Drosophila melanogaster: one gene and its partners. The protein of the gene in region 1 purifies or fractionates together with the protein of each later gene. This does not show direct contact. Each region holds a gene or a part of one and is shown in the gene's direction. Other genes may lie near its edges.

What was found. The genes of interacting proteins can lie anywhere in the genome.
Region 2: the proteins of JhI-26 (region 1) and CG7737 purify together in Drosophila melanogaster (affinity purification with mass spectrometry, with the first as the bait; one large-scale study listed by BioGRID). This does not show direct contact.
Region 3: the proteins of JhI-26 (region 1) and CG11980 purify together in Drosophila melanogaster (affinity purification with mass spectrometry, with the first as the bait; one large-scale study listed by BioGRID). This does not show direct contact.

The regions. Positions count from the first base shown.
Region 1 is NT_033778.4:16,287,523-16,292,730, forward strand, and holds JhI-26 (juvenile hormone-inducible protein 26), read left to right. Parts: upstream 1-1,797; 5' UTR 1,798-1,849; coding exon 1,850-2,086; intron 2,087-2,223; exon of another isoform or gene 2,224-2,429; coding exon 2,430-3,229; intron 3,230-3,393; exon of another isoform or gene 3,394-3,405; coding exon 3,406-3,688; 3' UTR 3,689-3,811; downstream 3,812-5,208. Other genes in the region: CG30324 (uncharacterized protein), read right to left, coding at 124-618; CG30099 (uncharacterized protein), read right to left, coding at 749-1,402; CG42372 (uncharacterized protein), read left to right, coding at 4,029-4,196, 4,252-4,290; CG30100 (uncharacterized protein), read left to right, coding at 4,293-4,733; CG7747 (uncharacterized protein), read right to left, coding at 4,788-5,202.
Region 2 is NT_033778.4:11,221,320-11,227,709, forward strand, and holds CG7737 (uncharacterized protein), read left to right. Parts: upstream 1-2,125; 5' UTR 2,126-2,279; coding exon 2,280-2,364; intron 2,365-3,250; coding exon 3,251-4,797; 3' UTR 4,798-5,427; downstream 5,428-6,390. Other genes in the region: Syx6 (syntaxin 6), read left to right, coding at 1-310, 465-541; metro (menage a trois), read right to left, coding at 5,704-6,224, 6,344-6,390.
Region 3 is NT_033777.3:9,001,910-9,006,294, forward strand, and holds CG11980 (uncharacterized protein), read left to right. Parts: upstream 1-2,107; 5' UTR 2,108-2,141; coding exon 2,142-2,166; intron 2,167-2,186; exon of another isoform or gene 2,187-2,229; coding exon 2,230-2,542; intron 2,543-2,599; coding exon 2,600-3,341; 3' UTR 3,342-3,422; downstream 3,423-4,385. Other genes in the region: CG31100 (uncharacterized protein), read right to left, coding at 1,632-1,681; Prosbeta3 (proteasome beta3 subunit), read right to left, coding at 3,545-4,162.

The DNA.
Region 1 (5,208 bases):
GAGTAATGGGTATGTGATAGTCGGGGAAATTAACTATAGTGATTTATTGAAAAACATGCAAATACTTCTCACATTCCGAACTTTTATTAAACTCTTTTTTCCCCAATTGAGTCCTGCCCAGGATTACAAGTCATAGCAGAGCGATTTATTGGTACAGGGACAACCATCGATGCCGTAACGCCCAATCGGAATGTCCGTCTGGGTCTCCTTGTGCTGCGGTCCTGGCAACTCGTAGAATTTCTTACCAAAGTATCGATCCGGGAGATAGTACGATGGATACTCCGCCCTCAGCCTCTCGTGATCCTCCCGCAGAAATTTTGCCAGTTCGGGAGTAGCCCGTCGAGCTTCCAGGCGATACTGCTTCGGCTTGGCCATTCGGATTGGAACTTCCAGGTGGAGCTTCGAGTGCGGTATGTAGGACAGCAGCTCCTGGTCGAGTTTCACTGCCTGCTCTGCACGAATTTGTGCGCAAGTGGCACACTTGCATTTTCCACCATGGTAGCAGTACCGCTTTCGTCCATCCTCGTCCACCATCAGCAGTGGGGTGCAGATGGGCGACGGAACCGGTTGTGCCTCCGTCTGCGTGGCAACCGACTCCTGGGCGGGATCGGAAAACATTGTGGAAAGAGTGGGGTTCAAATCGGAAAGGTACGAACGATTTGGATTGCAGAATGAAACTAAATATCGGAGAAAAACAGATGTATTATCAGCAAACTCCTTGGCAACTAGATATCAAAAATTACAAATTTTAAATTAAACATTTTATATTGTGCAGCTTGATTAAAGTTTCCAAGTGGCTGGAGACACCTCTGCTGCATCCACAACTAAGTGCAGAGTGAGGATATGCAGCGGAGGAGTTCCACAGCCAGGTGAGATCCCCATGCCGATCACAATCTTTTATCCTCAATCGTTTATCCCCCGTGCAGTAAATGTTTTTGCTGAGATCCTTCTTATCCCGCTTCACAAAACCACAATCCGGACACACATGGGACATCGCTGGATTTCTTTGTGCAGCCTTCATCTGAAGATAGTAATCCTTGAGCTTTCGCTGACGCACTTCCTCGAAGAACTCGCGCATTTGTGGCGAATCCCGAACAGTGGGCTCCTCGATGGGCTTCCTACTCGCTTGCATTGGACAGACGACATCGTCGTGTTGAGCATTCTTCGACATTTTCAACTGATCGTGTCGGCCGCTCGTTATTTTGCCTTTTCGCGAAGAAGAGGACATATATGACATGTTATCCAAATCCGTGATCCTGATCGAAGCACTTGTCCTCTTTGGCACTTTGGATGGCATGCTGATATCTCGACTTTGCTGCGATCCATTCGTGAACTTTCGAACGTAGGTGTTGGCCCTGGTCATTGACCCGGTCGTTTTGAGTAAATACCAGTTGAGGCCCATTGGTAGTTGGTCGATAGTCGAACTGCAACGGTAGGATAGCTTTTTCTAAAACTGGAAATTTTGACTAAAAATATATCGATACCTGTGATTATGGAAAATAGAACTTAATCCAAAGGAATCATTAAACTTTGCACACAATAAACAAAAAAAAAAAACTAATTAAAACTAATAAATAGCGTATCCCCCTATCTTTGCGTCATGATATCTTATCATATCATTTTAACATGCCAAATTGCATCATGCTAATCATTAGGTAGGTACTGCTTCTCTATAAACCATAAAGTGCTTTTAATGATTAGAAAGCTTTTCATTTCCAATTCGCTCTTATCGTGTAATCTCTAACAACGAATGAGCTTTTGGAGAGTAGTACAAAATGAGCTATATGAAATGGTTTATGCTCATTCGCTATCCACAAGCGAAGCGGTTGGGATCGTCAGTACCGACGAAATGGAGAAGATCGAGGCTGAGAGGCAATGGCTGAGATACACGGTTCTTCCGTCAATTCTGAGGAACGGGCGCCTGGTGGACAACTACAGCGAGTCCAAGGTGACCACATTCCATGTGGGGGACATCGACATTGATGTAATTGGCCACTCGGAGGCCTTTATGCTAACTTTTTGCTACCGGACAACCATTAATTTTGAATACGACGGGCAAAAGTTTCAGCGAAAAATGGTGGTTAAGGTAGGTTTATTCCATTCACATAGTATAAATAAATCTTAAACAATCTATCTGGATATCTAAAAACACAACGAAAAGATTTACTATACTCGCGGAATTTAAATTATATTATATAAGTGCCTTAACTGCGTACTACTTACCAGTTTTGTTTTCCAGCAAACTCAGATAGCTTAGTGAGAGTGTGGGTTTTATGGCAAACATTGTGAAATAGAGGGAGGCATCTCAACAAAAGAACAAAGCGAATTGATTTTGAATTCAAAATAAATCACATCTAATGATGAAGTTTACTTTGGCATGCAATGACCCCAGAATACCAATAATTAATTGTTTTTTTTTTTTTTTGTAGAAAACACCTGCTATGCCACCAGAAATGTATGAATCCATACAGTTTGGGCCCCTTTTTACCAACGAGATAAATTTCTATACGGAAATTCTGCCAGAGTTTCAGAAGTTCACCGATGGCAAGTTTGCCGCACCCAAGTACTATTACGGCGAGTTGAACCAGCATTCGGCTGTGGCCATTCTGGAGAATTTCGCGGAGCAGGGATGGCGGGTCACCAAGGATCGTGTGGGTCTGAGTCTGCAGCACGCCATGATTGCCGTGAGTTACCTGGGAAGGTTCCATGGCTTTGCGTACGCCATGAAGCACAAGAACCCGGAAAAGTTTGCCCAGCTGACTGACAATCTGAAGGAATCTCGCTATGCCAACGATAACATTCATCCGGAATGGAAGCTCACCATGAAAACGAGCATCGATCGAGCGGCCAAGGCGGTGGCCACCTATCAGCCACAGATCGACGAGGAGTTTGTTAAGAAGTTCTGTTTCATGATCTCGGACTATTCGCAATACGGTAGGCAACGGGTGGCGCCCAGGGAGCCACTGGCCACCCTGTGCCACGGCGATTATGTGAGGAATAATGTGGCGTACAGGTACGATGACAAGGAGGAGCCGCAGGAGATCATGATGTTCGACTACCAGACATTGCGAGTCTCCTCTCCCATGGTCGATCTCAACGTCTTTCTAGCCGTGTCCATTTTTGCCGAGGTACGCGATCCAAACTTCGAGGCCATCTTCTGTGAATACACCTTGGCGCTTCATAATAGCTATAGGGAGCACGCCAAGGAGGAGGTTCCGGATTTCCTAAGGTGAGTTGTTATTATTATTCATTATTCATAAGCTTTTAAAATTTCAAACAAGCGATATGAATGCAAATCAAAAATCTAAAAATACTCATTAGGTGCTCGATGTGATAAGATAAGATAATCCTGTAAAGCTTTTTACTGCCAAGAAATAATATAATACTAATTACGCTATTTCTTAGTCGCGGTGAGCTTCTGAAGGAGTACGTGCGTTTCCTGCCGTACAGCTTATCCATATCGGCCAGTTTCCTCATGAGTTTGGTGGATCCCTTGGACATCTCGCCCGAGGAGATGTTCGCCTTGCAACTGTCTGACGAGGAAATCATCGAACGGACCATGAATCGAGGTGGAGAAGTTGTGGACAGGGAGGTTGCTCACCAGGTTAAGGAAATGCTGGAGCTGAGCCAGGCGACAGGGGTGTCCATTGATGACGGCATTGATCTTGACAAGTTGCCCAAGGAGTAATCAATTGATAGCCTAATGTAAAAGTATTCAGGCATTTCAGGTATAGCGTAACTGTAGATAATAAAATAGATGTTAAAGTGACATGCATTACCTATTTAGAGTTTAATACACTGTTTAACCGTGACTAGGAATTTTTAACAGTGGTGGGGGAATCGTAAATTGTGGGCTACTTAAGATTTATAATCTTATCATTGCGTTTTTTTCAAATGTTTATTTTTATAACTGTTGCTTTTGTTTTGATCGCACAACGCCGCAGCTGATTGTGTTTTTGCTGAACTGCCAACCTGTTGTAGTTCTGCGTTAACCAGCACTGTCACACATGTGAGAGTGAAATATGAAAATGGTTCAACCTTCGCGGCAGCAAATTTTGCGTTTATACAAGCATTTAATTCGTTACGGCAATCACCTAAAGCTGACCGACAAGAACTACTTTCTGGGAAGAGTTCGCCACGAGTTTCGGGACAACCGTTCCCTTACGAATCCCGTGGAAGTGGAATTCAGCTTTAAGGTAAGTGCCACTTTCGTATTTCATAACTGATTTACAAAATGAACTTATATTTCAGCGCGGAGAGACCCTGCTAAAGAAGGGACGCATTCTGTAGGAATGCTGCGAGGTCTGGTGCGATTCCTGGCGCTGCCTCCGACCGCTGTGCGCTGCAAGTCCAATCTGGACTACTCCCGCTTTCCCGTGCTTCAGGAGTCGGATATCGAGGAGACCTTCATGCGCGGCAGTGGTCCTGGTGGCCAGGCTGTCAACAAGACATCCAACTGCGTGTTCTTGCGCCATCTACCCACCAATATAACGGTCAAGTGTCACACACATCGTCTAGCATCAAAGAATCGAGTGGAGGCTCGTAAACTTCTACTGGAAAAACTGGACGTGCATCTAAACGGAGAGCATTCAATTGCCGCGCAAGTCAAGGCACAAGAGCAGAGAAAGTCCACTGAGCGGCGGCGGCGACAGGAAAAGCTGCAAGAAATGAAGAAAAGCTGGCAGGATAGAGAGCGCACAGATGGGGGAACCAAATCTACCGATAAAGAGTGATAACTTTTACTTCTAAAACGGTCTTTTAAATATTTATTTTTGGAAAACAATGGGTTACCAACTGGAGAAATCTCCAAAACCATTCGCCAGTTTCTTCTTCTTGGCTGCTTGAGCGGATGTAAGTGGCGCCTCTGGCTTTTTGGCCACTGTCTGAAGTTTCAGGTACTTGCCTACGCCCTCTCTGTACACCTTCAGTGGCTCCTTCATGCGCTTTTGCTGCTCCTCCTTCTTGACAATCTCCTCCTTGCCGGCCGCCTCCTCCTCGCGCTCCTTGGCCAACTGTTCGGCTGCCTCGGCAAATGGATTCACAAAGACCTGTGAGGACTCAATGATGATGTCCTCAATTGGTCTGTCCTTGTTATCCACCTCGATATTTTCCATCTTTTGAAGAGTGTCTAATCCTCCGACAAGCTTTCCAAAGATGGTGTGTTTGCCGTCGAGATGTTTGCAAGAGCGATAGGTGATAAAGCTACGA
Region 2 (6,390 bases), 5.1 Mb from region 1:
AAGCTGGAGAACGCCCTGGACAGTCCCAGTCACTATGGGCAGACGCATCACGGCGGCATGGACAGTCCGAGTCATAGGTACGTGGGCGAAACAGTGTCCATACAGCAGCGTATGATCCAGGGACAGGATGAGCAGCTAGACATGATCAGCGATTCGATTGGTACCCTCAAGACGGTCTCGCGGCAAATTGGCGTTGAGCTCGATGAGCAGGCCGTCATGCTAGACGACTTTGGGAACGAGTTCGATACCACGGAGTCCAAGTTGGATACGACCATGAAGAAAGTTGCCAAAGTCTTGCACATGAATAATGGTGAGTGGTGCGGCACTTGTGGTATTCAAGGACTATTTTGATTGAAATATTAATGAAGAGTAAATGCTTCAGTGAACCACAATCAAAATTACCCATTGAATACTTTTGTGACTTCTGATTCCTAATTCTTAACTGTATCCATCTTCTTTCACAGATAAACGACAGTGGGCCGCCATTCTCATCCTATCCGGACTGTTATTGTTTGTGATAATTTTGTTTATTATTTTGTAATTGCTTTCGTTGTTCCCAAATCGTTTATATTTAGTGTAAATTAGATTTATTTATGACTTAGCTTGCTTTTGAATTCGGGCTCTTAATTACAATTCCATGTAAACTCCCTTGCTGTATATACACGGAAACATTTTAACCTGATTTATTACCAGCCGCCTCTCTCTATATATATATAATGTAATTCCAAAGCTACGGACAAATGATCATGTAAAGTCAATGTAGGCGGGTAATAAAAGATAACTAACTACTTACATATAAACCAAGTGCTCCAGAGTTCTGTCATTCCCAATTTGGCCAAAGGATACTGCAACTGTAAGCTGTATATACATCGAAGGATATATCTGCATATATATACATACAAACAAAATGGACCTACCAATATCAAACGAGTTATTTAACGAAGAGTCTTAGGAAATTTCACTAACCAAATCTAGCAAAAACTTGTATGCAATTGAGTAAATATATATACTTATAAATTAAATTCCTAATTTAAAGCCAAATGAGGTACTTCTTACGGGTCACCTAGAAATACTGTATGAGTGCACAGAGAGAAATTGTATACATATACAAAAATTTGTTCGCTATTTTGAAAGCCTAAATTAAACAAAAATTGGAAATACAAGCTTTCAAATTTTTTAATGTTTTTAAGGATAGTAGGATTAGTCAAGATGTTATCTTCTGATAGATCAATGATTTGGAAAATGGTATTTAATACCAAATTTTTCTCTGTGCACAAGGAGAGGGTATCAGGCCCCTTCTCATGTTCTCTCTGCGCCCCAAAACCACTCGACAGCCCACTCGATTTGCCCACTCACTCAGCTGTGTTGCATGCTTTTGCCCGGAGCTTTTTGGCGAGCTTACAGTCTGCGCACAGTGGCGCAACCAAAGGGGTATCTTCGAAAGGCTTGAAACATAACCCCTACGGGGAATCCGGACTACGCCACTGGGTCACAGCATAAGCACACGGGCAGAGCGGCACGTTTCCATGTGATGTTTTTCGGGTTTCGGCATTCAGTGTTGTTTGCCTTTTCCGCGGAGCTGGAGTTTTCCCAGCAGTTGGCATATAGTATATATATATATCTCCTGATATTCCGGTAGAAATGTTCAATTGTTGAATTACTTCGGCTAAGCGGCATTCAAAGTTATTTTGGTGAGTGACAGTGCGCAGTGAAGTGAACATACCCACCCATTATCACCCCCAAATATGCAGTAACCCAAAATTCGACTTCCTCTCGGATGTTTGTGGTTGGTTTTCCTATTGTGTGCAGTTTTTGTTGCCGCTGAAAACCTTGAGCATTTTGTTGGCCAAAAATATATAAAATCAATGTCAAACGGCGGAAGATGGGATACCGCTTCCATTTCTTTCCCCCCCCCCCCCCACTTACTGCTCTTCGTGGAAACACTCAGATTTCAGTTGACCGCCAGGTAAAACCAGCTGGTCCGGTTGGCTAGATACTCCTTCTGGGATTTTTCCTCCGCTTTCCCTTTGCTGCCGTGGCTATTAATAAATGCATGTGGCCAGAAGAAGCGAGTGAACATATTTCAGACTACATGTGTTCTTGGTGGCCGTGTGTTTTCCTTTGGACGCCAGTGTGTTGCTCGTGGTTTTCATTGCTGGGTGGGGGGAGCTTTTTCGAAACTCTTATCAAAAGTCGGATTCGCGGGCAGGGATTCGTTCGTTATCGAAACAGATGAGCGAACATGCCGTTACTTTTTAATCAAAAGACGTGTGTAGTTTATGTTGTACGGAAAGTGGACGGTAATAAAACTCAAGTGTCTGGAATTGCAATGCACCATTGCCATAAGCAAATTTCCAATGCACAGTAAGCAAAAATGGCAAAAAAAAACACAAAATTAATTCTGTTGGTGAAAATATCATGTTATATATCAGCAAATTACCCGCACAGACTGTTGTTTATGTATATTATACGATAAGTTTATTGCGAAATCAATTTACAATGCTATTTTTGAAAGTGAAAGGGAAATTGAAAAGCCATATCTGTGAAAGCAAAATGGGAATTTTGAAAAGCAAATTTCCTACAACCATAAGAATTTTTAAAAGGGCTTGTTTTATTCACTTTAACATTTGCAATGGATAGTAAAGCTAACGTATTCACGTTCTGAGATTTTAGGCATGACTGCGAATAAGTGATATTGTATTACAATTTACACAGTTTTAACGCCAAGCATTTGTAAGCTTACTGTTGCATAAAATTGAAAAAAAAATTTACAAATTTTTGAATAGCTTGCAATTTTGAAAAATGCATCCAAATATAATTTTCTAAATATTGTGTGATTAAAGGAAACCATAATGCTTACTGTTGCGTAAAATTAAAAACCAATTTTACAAATTTCTGAATAGATTGCTATTTCGAAAAATTCATCCAAATATAATTTTCTAAATATTGTGTGTTTAAAGGAAACCATAATTAAATAATGCTTACTGTTGCATAAAATTGAAAAACAATTTTACAAATTTTTAAATAGTTTGCAAGTTTGAAAAAATCATCCAAATATAATTTTCTAAATATTGTGGGTTGAAAAGGGAACCATACTTAATGTGCTTTTAAGTATACCAGATTTTTTTCAAGTGTACGCACAATTGCCCACAACCCACTTACTCACACTCTAGCACATTCGAACTTATGGTGTTTATTATTTAATTTGCTTTTCTCCTGTTGCTCTGCTACCCCTTTATTTCCAAACCAGATATTCAGTTACCCGGAATGAGTGGCGCACAGCGGAATCAGGATCGCAAGATCGTTGTCATCGGAGCAGGAGCCTCGGGTGTGGCCTGTGCCACCAAACTGCTGGAATTGGGCTTTCAGAATGTGCTCGTCGTGGAGGCGGAGGATCGTCTAGGTGGCCGCATACACACTATACCCTTTGCGGACAACGTCATTGATCTGGGTGCCCAATGGTGTCATGGGGAACGGGACAACATTGTGTACGAACTGACACGGAAACAGGATGAGGAGCTGCTGGAGTCGACGGGTCCGGTCTACGAAAACTATGAGTGCGTCCGCTCCAACGGAGATGTGGTACCGGAAGAGGTATCTAGTCGCCTGAAAGCCATCGTCGGGGATTCACTGGTCACCCGGCAACTGGAGCTGCGTCACTGCAGCGGTTCCTTGGGCAGCTATCTGACCAACAAGTTTTACGACACTCTCCGGCGTCCGGAAAACTCCGATATAGACGCAGAGGTGGCCAGTGAGTTCTTTGTCAACTATCAGAAATTCGAGAACTCCGTCGAGGCCTCGGATACGCTAGAACAAGTTTCGGGACGAGGTTACCTGGACTATTGGGAGTGCGAGGGCGATATCCTGCTAAACTGGAAGGACAAGGGCTATGTGGAGCTTCTACGGCTTCTCATGCGCTCCAGGGAGTTAAATGTGGAGCATGGAGTTCTGGAGCAGCGTCTCCTGCTTGGCACTCGTGTTGTGAAGATCAACTGGAATCGGAACGACGGACGCGTGGAACTTCAAATGAGCAATGGAGAGACCTGTATAGCTGACCATGTGGTGGTCACGGTTTCATTGGGAGTTCTCAAGGATCAGCACCTTCGGCTATTTGAGCCACAGCTTCCAGTAGAGAAACAACGTGCCATTGACGGTTTGGCCTTTGGAACGGTCAACAAAATCTTTGTGGAGTTTCCCGAGGCATTTTGGCCCGAGGATTGGACGGGTTTCACCATGCTCTGGCGGGACGAGGATTTGGATGACATACGCGGCACTTCTCGAGCATGGTTGGAGGATGTCTTTGGCTTCTACAGGGTGAGCTATCAGCCGAGAATCTTGGCGGGCTGGATAACCAATGAGAGCGGCAGGCACATGGAAACCCTTCCCGTTGATGAGGTCCAGGCTGGCGTTATGTACCTCTTCCGAAGATTCCTGAGGTGGAAAATCCCAGATCCCGCGAATTTCCGCACCTCTGCCTGGTATACGAATGACAATTTTCGTGGGTCCTACTCCTATCGATCCATGGACACGGAGCAGCTGGGAACGGGTGCACGGGAGTTATCCCATCCCCTGACCGTGGTGGCCACCACTCCGGAGAAGGACAAGGACTCGGAGGACGAGGCGTGGCAGCAGAGTCGCTGCGATAGACCCATTGTCCAGTTCGCCGGAGAAGCGTCCAGCGAGCACTACTACTCCACGGTTCACGGAGCAGTCGAGGCGGGATGGCGGGAGGCCAGACGACTGGCCCAGTTTTACGGAATAAGCGTGTCCCGTTCTGGAACCAAATCGCAACTCTAGCTGTAGGCTAGGATATCGTAGAACATGTATAGACGACAGCGATACCTGACCCAGTTATACGTGTGGATGTAGAATTCTGTCTTCGCACTACAAGATACAATCAAGAAAACTGATCAGTACATCCTGGATAGACTTCATATGCCTAAGCTAATAATTTACACATTTGCCATAGGTTAGCATAGGTGACAGATTATATTTACGAGTTTATATGTACGTGAGCATGTCAATATGTCAACAAGTGCGCTGCCCAATAAAGCTGTGTTTAAGTCTTCTCTAACCTAAATAAAGTTAATATATACATCATCAATTGCTAAGCTAATGAAAAACGCTTCCCTCTCAATCGCATTTAAAATAGTTTTTTTTTTTTATTAGTTTCTCACTTGTTTTCAACAATTTGTCACTACGTTTTTGGTGAAATCAGTTTTCGAAATGAGACATGTCGTCACACAGAACTTCACATTGTATCCAATATGCTTCAGTTAGTGAGTGTATATACAACTGAGATACAATACGATTAGCTTTAGGTTTTACGGGGGGATTAACTCTGTACTTTGATTTCAACAACGTGTAATACATACATTTATAATTAAGTCATTCTTTGAACACAAATAAATTTTGTACAACAAGTTTATATAATTTAATTGTAAGTTAGATGCTGGTTGAGTTCAAATTTCCTTCACTTTCTGTCAATAATTATTGTATTCATTACATTGTTTTCACTGTTACGCAAAAAGGTACATGTCGTGAAAAGGACTAAGGCCGGACGGGAGTGCCCAGCAGGACCGCCTACGGGTAAATAGTGTCTCTTCTCCGTTTCTCTAGCAGATTGCTAAATTCGTATGGCAAAAATACTTTGGTGTTCATCAACAAACTGCATGAAATGCTTGTCCACATTTGGCAACCGATCTACTGCACCCACATGGATGGTGCCCATACCGGTTCGTTCTCCAGTCGCTGGACATTCTGGACCAGCTGCTCGAAAGCATTGACCAGTTCGCCGTTGACCAGCTCTACGTCGAAGAAGTGTCCGTATAGGAAATCTATGCGTTCGGCCGACTTGATCATGTCCTCGAACTCTTCGTCCGTAAAACTTCTGGCATTCGCCTCGTCGAATGTGGATTTGGCACGCGCCTCCGTTCGCGTAGCCTTCAGGATGTCCAACTCTGGTGGCTTCACATGGATGAGGAAGGGCTTCAGCTGAGCTGTGCGCAGAGTCTTGATCGCCTGGTAGTGCGGACTCAGCACACATACGCAGCCGGCATTCACAATCGACTTGACACTCTCCGCCGATGTTCCGTACAAATGGCCCTTGTACTCGCCGTGCTCCACAAACTTTCCCGCCTCGATGTCCGCGTCCATTTTCTCGCGGGCCACAAAGATGTACTCTCGTCCGGCCACTTCACCTGTGCGCATTGGTCGGGTGGTGTCTGAAAAAAACGAATAGGTTTTCTATTAAAGATGTTCGAAAAGAGGTCCATTTGTTCACTTGGTCATTTCTACACTAGTTCATTTGTTCACTTAATAAAACAAACTTAAGAAAACTTACACGGAACCGGACTGCGGAACTTCTCGGGATCCCGGGCTATCAGCCGG
Region 3 (4,385 bases), on another chromosome or scaffold:
CGAATCTCAGTCCCGTTACAACGAAGCTTTCCATTAAGCTAAGCTTACAAGACGGAGTTCGGAAATTGAACGCGACGAAAGCTCGCCTGGCATTTGTGCCATTTACCAAGCAATTTGGTTTGGTAACCAATTCGGCGGCTAGAAAACAAAACAAATTCCCCAAAATCGTATTCATTGAGCGGGAGAACAATTGAGGGTCTGCTGACAAACCGGTTTGTTGTATTTTATTGTATTAACCTCATCATTGCCCGCTACTAGATCTTCCCACTAAATCAGCTTCGAATCGGTCTGGCATTCATAAAAAAAAACACATTAATTTCTTTCTGAATTCTTATTTGTATACCCAGCATTCCGGTTTGAGTTCAAGAATATACCCACAAAGCCGTATTCTATATAATGTACGATGCAAATACGAGCAGGAAAAGGTAAATTCTCGCCATAGTTAAATGACAGTTGCATAAACCGGACAACACACATGAATATAACGTCAGGCGGCTTTGATCTCGCCTCTATAAATACAGTAAGGCTACTTAAGTTCACTTAGGCTCGAGTAAATAAATCTACAATTGTGATGTTGCACACCAGAGAACACTACAACGATAGTAATGCAATTTAATGATAGTGTCGAATTTTTAATTTTAAATACAAAATCATCACCTCCCGATTTAGTAATCTCTATTTTAAGTGCTCCAGTTAATTGCCCTTAAAGTTTTTTTGACGCGTACTCACATATTTGTTGTATTAAGCGATTTATTTGAAAAAAGACGGTGCTAATATAAGTTAAATGGGCATATACGTAACGAGGGTGCCAGTTCACCGATCCAATGATACCCTGTAAGTGCTATATAAGCCAAAAATGATTTAAATATTTGTATATTCAACTTACTATTCACTTTCATTCATTTAAGAACGACATGTGGTACAATATACCTTTCAGTTTCAGTTTGGTATTTACCTGTGGAATTTGCTTATTTGCTCACGGGCGTGAAAATATAATTACTTGGGTAGTTGTAAAAACAAGCGCATTTTTCGCTCAGTGGCAATGAACTTCTAACGTAATCTGTATGATAAGCTTAATTGCAAGAAGCTGAGGTCGAAACGAGTCCAGATTTTGATAAGCGTGTCTGCATCGATTAGTACCACAATAAGCCCTGTGAAATTTTTGATTTGGCCGCGTGACGTAGACGTCGGGGCAAATTGAACTTTAATTCGAGCTGAATTTCGCATTCCAATTGGAGATAGTGAAGTGTGTTTTCCAAACGAGTTTCGTTTACACAGGCACTTCCTTTTCCACTCAATTTCCGAGCTTAGCATCTTTTCGAAGGTCATGGGATGCTGACAACGGGAAAAATGCCTGTGTAACAATTTGAATTTAACGTTTTGTTCGCGCTCATACACGTGATCATTGTTGTCGGCGGTGATTTATGTTTTAAACGCATACATAGACCGTTTGCCTACTATTTCGGTTTTAATTATTGTTCGTCAGTTTCAGCGCACAATTAACGGAAATGTAAAATTTAAATAACTTATAACGATTATATAAGCAATGCCACGCAGTGGGTCAGTAATGTATTTTTAAGCTTTCCGATTCCCGCGCGTTTTTAATGATCTTTTAAACTAATCACTCTTACATTGCGGGTACTTGCCGACTTATATTTCGGCGCAAACGGGCTTCTGCCATTTTGGTAAATCCTTGTGGTTAGTCAATTTTATCCAATGTATCCATTCGTGGGTCTTGAGTTCCAAAGGCTTACTAAAATTTTCAGCCAATAATTCTCTACTAAGCAGCCAAAAAATTGATGTGGTCCCTATGAGTTGTTGTTTTACAAATTAGCAAGCGAATGCTAATTTATTGGATAAGCACAAACGCCCATGCAATCGATTGGTGTGGGGCGAAGTTCTTTGATAAGCTGGCAGTGCTTGGTACAGATTTCACTGAATTTTCATATATTATTATATTAAAATCCAACTTGCCTATAAAACGTATTTAATTAAAATGTTGTTAATTGTTTGCGGCTTAAAAAACCGTTACCAGTGCTGCCACGCTGCAGTTTTTATATATTTAAGCTGAACGCGTGTTGCCATATCAAGTTATAAAAACTTGTGATATCGATATTAAATGGAGGAAAAGACCGTCGCTAATGTTCCGATTGTTACCTCGTTTTCGTAAGTTTTTGGTTACAATCCGAAATTAATTGAAATATCTGGGCTTAACTGAATGTTTTGAAGCAGGAAAACTATCTATAATGACTGGAGTTACCCCACCAAAACGCTCTCCCCTTTGGATCGGCACACACAGCGGCACTTTTCACTGCGACGAGTTGGTCGCATGTTTTATGCTCAAGCAATTGGATGAGTACAAAAACGCAGAGATTTTCCGCAGTCGGGACAACAAGGCTTTGAAGGAGAAGTGCGATATAATTGTCGACGTGGGCGGCGTTTATGATCATGCCAAGAAATTGTACGATCACCACCAAATAACCTTCAAGGAGACTTTTAGTTCCGTTCGCCCAGATGTAAGCGAGGACTACAACGTTGTCAGGTGAATTCGTGGTGTTAGCGTAAATGAACCCGTATAATCCAATGTAATCCCCTCCAGGCTAAGCAGTGCTGGACTGGTCTACTGTCACTATGGCGAGCGTGTTATACAGAGCATCCTGCAGCGCGAAAAGGGAATTAAACTCTCACCGGAAAACCTGCAAACGGCCTTTATTCAGATCTATAGGAATTTTATCAACGAACTGGACGCAATTGATAATGGAGTGCCCATGTTCGAGGGCGTTGAGCCTATATACAAAATCTCCACTCATCTATCTGCCCGCATTGCCAAACTGAATCCGTCCTGGCAGGAAACTGGCGTAGACATCGAAGACCGATTCAGACAGGCGATGGATACTGCAGGTCGTGAGTTTGTGGACAACGTTGTGGAGGTATCATGTTCCTGGATTCCAGCCCGGGATCACGTACGAGAGGCTCTTAAAAATGCCAAGAACGTCCATCCCACCGGCGAGATTCTTGTGTTGAAGAATTTCTGCCCCTGGAAGTCTCATCTGTTCGATCTTGAAAAGGAGTACAAGGTGGAGGGTGTGCCCAAGCTGGTCGTCTTCAACAGCGGCAATAGTTGGCGAGTGGCCGGAGTTCCAGTGACGCCTGGCAGCTATCTGGGCCGCAAATTTCTGCCCACTCCTTGGCGCGGACTGATGGACGATGAACTATGCGATAAGGCGAGCATCAAAGATCTCGAATTCATCCATCACACAGGATTTATTGGCGGGGCAAAAACCGAGGAGGCTGCCATGTTGTTGGCCAAGAAATCCACCGAGTGGACAGAAGAGCAATAATATAATACGACTTAAAGTTATGCTTTTGAAATTGAAAAACAATAATTAGATCGCATTTAATTCTGGTGTTATTACGCATTTAATTCTGGTGTTATTACGTTATACGGAAAAGAAATACGCACATGTTGTACCTAAACAAATTTTATTTGTATGTGTATTTCGGTTAATGTATACAAAATCACCAAGGGAACCTCTAACATCATCTAGTCCATGCGGGTCTTCAGTGTGCGCTCCGTGATCTTGTCCTTCTCGATAATGTAGACGGTGGCACCCCAACCGCTCATGGCGTCGCGATCGAATGCGTTCACAATGGACTGGGCGATGACCTCAAACAGCTGGTCCGGCTCGAGATCGGGTTTCCACAGGGTTTCGCACATGCCATACAATTGCTCCGCACAGGTGCCGGCCACAACGAAGTCATCGGGTGCGTTGGGGCAGCCGATCAGGTCCATGTTGCAGATAAAAGGCTCCATGGTCTTGGGATCCAGGCCAGCAACGACCGGCTCAATGAAGTACGGGCCAAAGCGGTGCTCGTACAGAAAGCTGGACATCATGGCCGAGAAGGGCTTGGGACACATTTCACGGTTTTCGCGTGTCTCGTACAGATTCTTGCGGAACATCAGGCGATCGCGAACAGTAAGGATGTCCGTCTGCAGGCCTGTGAGCCCGAGGAACATCCGTGGGCCGATGTGGAACACCTTCTTGAAGTCCGTGGAGATCGTCTGAGCCTGAATGCCGAATCGGTGATCCGTGGCAATCGCCACGCAGTCCTTTCCGCGCATGGCCACTACACATCCTCCGTTGTAGGCTAGAATCGACATGGTGTCGTTGCTATTCGCTTAGCTCAATTTAATCAGCAGAAAAATGGAAATTTTGCAAAATGCTAAAAGCCGCCTGGGAAGATGACTTTTTGTTTCTGCTCTGCGTTGCCAGACTGCGAGTGTAAGATGGGCTAATACTGACTGGCTGTATAGAACTGGCAACGCCTACTAAAGAGATTTCAAAAAGAATCGCGTTTTTTAAGTATTTTTTAAGTATTAGTAT